Linked DNA regions of Nothobranchius furzeri. The protein of the gene in region 2 purifies or fractionates together with the protein of the main gene of each other region. This does not show direct contact. Links are inferred from orthologs where the notes say so. Each region holds a gene or a part of one and is shown on either strand. Other genes may lie near its edges.

What was found.
Region 1: the proteins of eif4g3a (region 2) and eif4a1b purify together in Homo sapiens (co-immunoprecipitation; 6 studies listed by BioGRID and IntAct, counting the BioPlex papers as one, with this or other methods). This does not show direct contact. The link is inferred for Nothobranchius furzeri from reciprocal best matches to the Homo sapiens genes EIF4G3 and EIF4A1.

What each region holds. Positions count from the first base shown.
Region 1 is NC_091743.1:86,638,229-86,642,841, reverse strand, and holds the start of eif4a1b (eukaryotic translation initiation factor 4A1B), read right to left. Parts: upstream 2,868-4,613; 5' UTR 2,783-2,867; coding exon 2,760-2,782; intron 1,684-2,759; coding exon 1,641-1,683; intron 1,394-1,640; coding exon 1,261-1,393; intron 1,013-1,260; coding exon 873-1,012; intron 379-872; coding exon 210-378; intron 63-209; exon of another isoform or gene 1-62. UniProt on the Homo sapiens protein: ATP-dependent RNA helicase which is a subunit of the eIF4F complex involved in cap recognition and is required for mRNA binding to ribosome.
Region 2 is NC_091743.1:76,832,692-76,836,507, reverse strand, and holds part of eif4g3a (eukaryotic translation initiation factor 4 gamma 3), read right to left. Parts: intron 2,598-3,816; coding exon 2,486-2,597; intron 2,354-2,485; coding exon 2,202-2,353; intron 1,117-2,201; coding exon 991-1,116; intron 1-990. UniProt on the Homo sapiens protein: Component of the protein complex eIF4F, which is involved in the recognition of the mRNA cap, ATP-dependent unwinding of 5'-terminal secondary structure and recruitment of mRNA to the ribosome. Functional homolog of EIF4G1.

The DNA.
Region 1 (4,613 bases), about 9.8 Mb from region 2:
GAACATCACCACACCAGGACGACTCAAGAGTCAGTTGACACGCATGGATTTCATCATCATACTGCACTTCCTGGGTTCAGGAAGTGATCTGTTAAAAGAAACAACCCACTAACCCAAAGAACCCGACCATTTGGTACCTTCTAGGCCTGGTCCAATACAAGTCCATCTACCAGAAGTGTGTCATTCCCAGAGACGGATAAAGTACTCACAGATGTTTTTACGTGTTATCATGTCAAAGACACGGCCCGGGGTTCCCACCACGATGTGAGGAGCTTCCGCCTGCAACTTCTGGACTTCACTGCGGATGCTGGTGCCCCCAATGCAGGCGTAGCAACTGGCCCCCATGTAGTCGCCAAGAGCCAGAACCACCTTCTGGATCTGCAAACACAAGCCAGGTGGTTTGTGAGGAACCACAACCCTAAACCAACGTCAGACTTAAGGTGAGGAAGATGTGGCAGCAATGCACTAAACTCACTAGTCACCCAGTCTGTCCCCACCTAGTAGTAAAGGGCCTACAACCCCCCCCCCAAGGTGCTTCACAACATGGTCATCCACTCATTTAAGCTGGCTTTCACGCGACCTTCGTCAACACTGTCCTTATTTTGCTCAACCTATCCCGCCTTTCCCAGGAGCCACTGATCGTTTTCCACCCCCCCCCTCCCCTTTTTTACATTTTTAAAATCACAATTTTGTATTTTGGCATTTAACTCAATTTCAACCCAAGTAGGTCTAGTGGGTGGGCGGAGGGAAGAGCGATGAGGAGCTCTTGCTCATGCTGGGCGAGCCAGTTTTAAGTCCCTTGGGTCAGTTCAGTCACAGGCCTGTTGAGAAATCAATAGCCAACACCCTAACTGGTGTGACTGGGTCCTTACCTGCTGAGCCAACTCCCTGGTGGGAGCCAGAACCAGAGCCTGGGTGCCTTTCAGCTCTATGTCGATCTGCTGGAGGATGGAAATGGCAAATGTGGCAGTCTTCCCAGTGCCAGACTGGGCCTGAGCAATCACATCGTAACCTGGAGACCAGAGAGACGGAAAGGGTTTTCAACTAAACTAATCCAGATCATCATCACCAACTCCACTCCAGCTGGCTGATACGGGCTTGTCCTAAAGGTGCAACATTAGCCACATCAGGGCTGATGAGTCATCGGTACGATGATGTTGTGTAACCAGTCAACCACACAAGACAAAACAAAGCTGCTGAGATTTTAGTTAATCTAAGGAAAACACTAAAGTGCACCCTGAGGCCAGTCCTCTTACCTACCCTTGATACAAGGGAGAATAGCTCTTTGCTGGATAGCAGATGGCTTCTCAAAACCATAAGCATAGATTCCCCTGAGCAGAGTTTCACGCAAGTTCATCTCATCAAAACTGTCCACGATCTGGTTCCAGTTGCTCTGGGAGACAGAAACAAGGCAGAGTGACGTCAATATTTCCTACAAATGCTGATCGGATGAGACCAAGACAGAATCAGCAACAAGGCCTTAGAATCAAAAGGATCCTGTTCATTTTAAACTCAGTCCAGATGGAAAAGCTTAATCTCTCCTAATCATACAAGGCAGTTACTGCACATGTGAAACATCAAATATGTAAAAAGCAGGAACACATCTACGTCAGAAACCTTTAATTAGTAGAAATTTTTACCTCGATGATGCCATCGGGCTCCATGCCCTCGGGGCCATTGTCTCTGAAACCAAACAATGAATATTCATTAAAATCACGGATCCATCATTTCTCTGGGTTCCGTCAGCAGACGGGTCCGGTAACGGGTCCAGAACGATCGGAACCAGCCCGGTAGTCTGTAGAACCGACCGAAGTCGTTAAACGGTAAAGCGACCAGACTGGATCCTTCAACGGAGTCCGCCATTTTTATCGTAGGCCGCATTCAAGATGGTCGATCCGACCAGCTAGCAAAGGCACTGAAACAGGCCGTGGCCCGGAAAACATTCGAGTTTACGGTCAGATGAAGTATTTAACGAGCAAAAACGGAACATGACGTTCCGGATGGCAACGGTCCAGCGAGACAGAGTTAGCTTGTAGCCACGGCCTGCTAACTTAGCTGGTCCTAAGCGGGCCTCTGGGTCTCTACCCAAGGATACAGCTAGTAGAATCCATCACCAACAATTTCCTTGCCGAGGGAAACCGTGAGGAACGGATTAGGGTTGCTCCAGCGGCGGCAATGACAGAAAAATGAAAAGTCGCGTTAGCATGTCCACCCTCCCAGTTAGCGCCGCCATGTGCACCGATCACCGAGGCCAGAACATCTAACGCCTACGCTAACGGGAAGGCTGCAAATGGTCGGTTGTACGCGAGAAATCACAGACGGAACATCATTTCGCTGGTTTTGGTAACGGAGTGACGGCAGACACCCTAAACTACCAAGTCGGCGAAGGCCTGGAGCCCTCACGTGCTACACGGAACCGGCAGCCTTTTCTTTTTTCTCAGGGCCGACATCTTTAATACACGTTCACTCTTCTGGCGAATACAAATACGCGATTAAACCTACAAAATCAACTTTTGAACTGGTTTACCTAAGTGATATCAGTATCGATCAATAAGACTGAGATTCTAGCATCACCACTGAGAACAGGCCTCTAACAAGGCTAGTCCTTTTAATAAGCCACTCGCGGTGCCTCAAAGTCTATATTACGGGCGAGTTCCTAGTCACCAATTCTCACAATTCGACACAAAAAACACAAACGGCAATAAATATCGTAAATAAAACAGTATAATATTGTTTGAACAATTCGTTATTTCACTGACCTGTTATCATATTCAGCCGACATTATTCCAAAGAAAGAATCCGGGGCAGAAAATTCTTATATATGAAGAACTCACAACGTCGCATTTTCATTGGACAACATCACCGTCACTTTTCTGTAGACCCGCCTGTCGAGGTTCGTGATTGGTCCACTCCTACATGTATTTTTAAAAGGCGGGACTAGGCGGAACTTTGCTTTCCACCAGAAAGAGGTAGGGATCTTTTTCGTTTAAACGATCAAAAACAAACATTGACAAGAACGAAAGTCTATTAGAGATAAAAAATCATGGTTTGTTACTGAGAGCGAAGCGGGACGCGGGGACTTGATTCAGAGCTGACTTCAAACCTTTACTGTAAGAACAATAATGCCCAAAAAGGGCAAAACGTTAACCGCAATAGTAAAATAAATGCGAAATGTTGACCTTTAATGGCTGATAAAATGGGTCAATAATGAGAATCATTTTCAGTTGAACATTAACTTACACCGCACATTCAGAGTTTATTCATTTTCTAAGTTATTGTGAGGTTGGACTCTTTTTACAGTGCATAATTAGTACATCAAATGTATTGTACCAAAGTGTTTTATCCCTCCCAAAATGTTGTAAAACAATTACAAAAATGTATTTTCTTATAAACATTTCTGCAGTTCTAATAAATTGTCACAGTAATTCTTTTTGACAGCAGTAATGTGTTGTTTTGTCCTACCTGTGCAGGTCAGCTGAGCTCTGACCTCAGTGGCGATAGTCCGTGCTCCCTACATCTGTTATCTGTAAACTTTCTCATTCTGTCTGTTTTGGTCAAAGAGTAAAGGCCACTTGAATCTTCAGATATGTTAATCCATAGATGTTTAAAATCACGTTTCACCACAAGTGTAAATGCTGCGGTCGAGTCCAAAATCAACACATTTAGGATGAATCATTTTTAGTTCACTAAAGCAAGAGTGGCTCAGAATGGCCGGACCTGCTGGAAGGTTCTGTAAGAATATACTCCACTTGTTCGGGTCATGAAATGTTTTTTTATGTAAATTATGAATGATCATCTAGGGATGCACCGATACGATACCAATACCAGTATCGGTAAAAGTTAACCGATACCAATGCAGTTGCTTGAAAATGGCTTCACTGTAACTTGTCATTTCTGTTCACCTAATATTTTGGTTTTGTGATGATTTCTTTTCATATATTTTACTTTTTATCTACCTCACAGTCCTCCTGTTGAAAGCAGAGAAGAAAATAAAATCTGAATTCCAAATCATTGCATTTTTTTGTGTGGTAGAAGTATCGGTAGTGGTAATCGGTATTGTGAGTACTCAGATCCAAGTATTGGTATCGGTTTGGAAAAAAGTGGTATCGTTGCATCCCTATTATCATCACACTGACTTTATGGATGACTAGCTACTCAAGCTTTAAATACACAGTTTGTTTGCCACATGTTTTTTTTATTTTAGCAACCATAATGCATCATAGAAGATATAGAAAACAACTCTGTTGCATCAACTGAGGAAAACAGGATGCAAATCTAAAAACACAACTATCCACAAGTATGATGTTTATTTTGTGTATATATTTTTATATATATATACACTGGAACAAAAAAAAAGAGAGAAAGCACGTAACTCAGTTGTGGACATATGGTGCCTGTTGTGTAGCTGCTGTGGTCCCCACCAAAATGGCTTAAAAAAACCTAAAACATTTTTTAGACTTACTGCAAAAGAACAGAAAACGTAGTCCGTTTCAACACCATTAGTTCAAAGCAATACGCATTTCACCACATTTACTGACAGGAATAAAAACACAGTAAAAAGACAAAGTAGAGGCTCCCCTCACTCTGGGTCTTTGTTTGGCTGCCCTGAGACG
Region 2 (3,816 bases):
ACAATGAATAATAATTTGTTGAATTTCCATTCATTTAAATTAATATGTGGTCCACATAAGCTGACCAGAGTGCTCCGGTAGCATTAACAATGCAATTAAACGAAATCACTTAAAGTAGGAACATTTCACCTGCTGCGGCCCAAACGCACGTTCCTCCTGCGCCGCGTAACCCTGAACTGGTCACCTGCAGCTTGTGCGTAATCAAATGTCTTTGAGGTGCTTGTTGAAGAGGTTAAGAGGTTCTGGACTGTTGCCTCAGACAGACTCGTGGATATTTAAACGTTGTTCTGGATGGATCCGCGCTCCGCAGACACACTCGATGCAGGAGCTGAATAACGACGAGCGCTACTTAAATCATGAAATGTTTCTCCAAATGAAATAACCAGAAGTCTTCCAGGCTTTCTGAAAGACAGAAGGGTTTCCACTCAACACCACGCTGCTGTGGACGATGTGGAGTGCGTCACAGACGCTCTCCAAGCTCCTCCTCTGCGCGCCGCGTGTGCGCCCACTGTCGGCAGCGAGAGGCGGAGGAGGGGAGAAAAGGCTCAGGCGCGCTGATGGAGATCTTTTGTTGATTGTTACCTCTGCGACGTTCTCTGTGCGTAACATGTAAAATATTTTTTGTCATAAACAAACTAACTCACGGGCATACAAACAAATAAATGAACAAACAAATCACCTCCGGTAAAAACACAACTGTAACGGCACCGCCCATTAAAAACTCTAGTTATGTTAATCTAAAAATCTGTTTTTCATCTCAGATCCAGGAGAAGGCATAACATAATCTAATCGGAGAGCCATCAGGACTTTCCAGTGACTCTGGGATGTGCTAATAAATTATGGAGTCATAAAGGCCACGCACCGCTGGCCTCCCCCAAGGTGGTGAAGAGACTACTGGAGCAAAAAGCTCCCACTGTGATTAAGCAACACGAGACACTGCTCCTATTTCAGTGCTGTGCATCACATCTGTGTAAAGTAGAGGCGCTGTACCTGTGGAGGGGTCGGGGTGGAGAAAGGGGGGCCGATAGGAGGCGTTGAATTCCTGCTTCCTGAGCCCCCTGCCAAGATCTCCTCCGTTACATCCTTGCCACCTCGATTTGGGTCACGAATACGGATCTAAAATTATATAAAAAGCAAATAGAAAAGACATTTTAACTGTTTGATTTTTAAGTTTATTCTAACTACTGATAATATCAAACCTGAACTCTCCCCAAACTGAAAATGTCAACAGGAACATTATTAACAAGGTTCACACGTTTTTTCCAATACATTTGCAGTGGGATCTCGTGTCATTGAATGCCCCTTTGAGTCAATCACTGTGGGAAAAAAAGCTCTGGCGCTCCTGTTTCAGTAACTAGAAGTGAGCCACAGGAGAGGTTAGGAGAAGACGGTATAATCTGGAGTTTTATTTCCTGATATTCAGACATCTCGCCTCTAACTGGCTAAAAGCAAAACCATTCTAACAATGACTCCATTTGCTTTGCATCATTCATGTTTTATCTCCACAAATAACACAAGCCTGAAGGAGTTCTGCTGTGTTGTGGAGTTGCTAATGCTAATGGTTAGCTTCTACAGATGTGCTCTAATTTCTCCTGGATGCTAAATCAACAACAGTTCTCCTCATCGTGAGCAAGATGAGTGAGATCATAAGCATTAACTATCGATGAGACATGGAATCGACTGGCTTTTCCAATCCAAGCGTTTCCCATCTGTTTTCTATCAGCGGCTAATGCAGGAAATGGGGTAGAAGACCGATTTCCTGTTTAACCTGCATGTTAAACTCAGAGTAATGGTAAATGGCGTGTACAACCCCCCAAGGTGCTTCATAACACATCCATTCATTCGCTCGCTGGTGATGAGCTACGTTGTAGCCACAGCTGCTCTGAGGCGCACTGACGGGAGGCAAGGCTGCTGAACACTGGCACCACCAGTCCCTCCGACCACCGCCAGCAGCTAACCTGGGTCAAGAGTCTCGCCCAAGAACACGACTGTGACAGATTGAGCGGGACTCGATTCCACTACCTTCAAGTTACGAGACAGGAACCTAGCTCCCCCGCCACCATCGTCCCATGAACTCAGAGTGGCCGATCACATTTCAAAAACAAGTAAAAAGCTGTTTCTTGGAGAACTCAGTCTTTAAAGGCAGCAACATGCCAAATATTGAAAAGACAAAAAAAAAAAAAAAAACTTGAGACACTCACCGTTTTCTTTTCACGCTTGGCTGAATGTTGTGTAGGCACTAAGATGGGGGGCGAGGGGGGGAACAGTGTCTGTCCTGGGTAAAAGGGCGAGCCAGCTGTGGGGACGGGAGCGGGTACAGAGGGAGAGACTGGAGGGTGGTACCTGAGGGCATCTGAATACATTACCCAGAAAAGAAAAGAACAAAACAGAAGAAAATATGTTCTAGTGAAATAAGGAATTATCGCTCTTCTGTGAGCAGACTGATGCGCTAGTGTGAATTCATGATTCTCTGGGAAAGACTCACGATATGGGGCAGGGTACTCCCCTGGTCCGGGACCAGGGTAGAAGGTGCCAGAGCCTGGAGGCTGTACAGAATACTGCTGTGGAGGTCCCACAAAGGGTGTACTGGGTCGATACTGGAAGTACATAGGACACACAAAGATAAACAAATATAGGAATGATGGCCAAGTTTCTCTAAAACCTCCACTGCCCATCTAAGGAATAAAACTTGAGTCACACCACATCGTTTTCAGTAAAAGATCCAGTGCAGTGGTTCCCCAAATCGATGGAGTCACTGCTGAAAAACATTTCTTGGACCTGGAATAACTAGGTGGTGGGCACCAACCATCCATAATGCAGGCCTTGGCCTGTGGTTTGCTACATAGAGCAGTAGCTGAGCTTGTAAAAAAAATAAGGCGTGAACACAGGTCACACATATGATATCAGAGCATTTTTTCGCAGGCAGTAACGTAGCAAAAATAAAAATCCCAGTTACTTACATACACAACAGAGAATTTGCAAATCTCCACTTTGGTCGGAGATTTTGAAAGAATTGTTTCTGGTGCCATAGATCTCAACTTTCAAATGGACGACCCGTAGACCAGGGGTGGGCAATCCCGGTCCTTGAGGGCCACCATCCTATTTGTTTTAGTGTTTTCCCTGTTTCAACACACCTGATTTCAATCAGCAGGTGATTAACCTAATAGATAAACATCTTAGTTTTGTGGGATACTCTGCGACGTGTGACAGGGTCTAAATAGATACTAGGGATGTTCCGATCACATTTTCTTACTCCCGATCCGATTCAGAGTCATTTGATTCTGAGTATCTGCCGATACCGAGTCCCGGTTTCAGAAAAGCAATAAAATAATAATAAATACATTTTTAGCAAAGCATTAAAATAAGAAAAAAAGGGGGAAATAAATCAGGAATGCATTAAAATAAGAAGAAACATCCAAATTGTTCTTTAAGTTTCACTTTCATTTTTTAAGTAAGTGCACCAATTAAAAACTTGTTTATATTGTAAATATACTTAAAAGTTGCAGCCTTGCTCTTATTTCAAGTTGTTTACTCCCTCAGTATGTAGCTGTATTGAGCAATGCATGTTCATGTGACGGAGCAGGCAGGCGGGGTAACTGTTCTCTGCATAACACCTGCAGCTCCAGCTCCAGTGCTGCAGGAGAACTGGAAACTGATGTTTTGCAGTCTGTTGGATATTTCTCTTTGTTCAGGAGTGTAACTTTTTCTGTCAGCTGACTCTGCGGTTTTGTCTGACTTCACTGTGAACTGCGACTGTTAGTAGTAAACTGGGGATTAATGGAGACGGTGATTTGCTTTGTTGATGCCTGAAGGGAA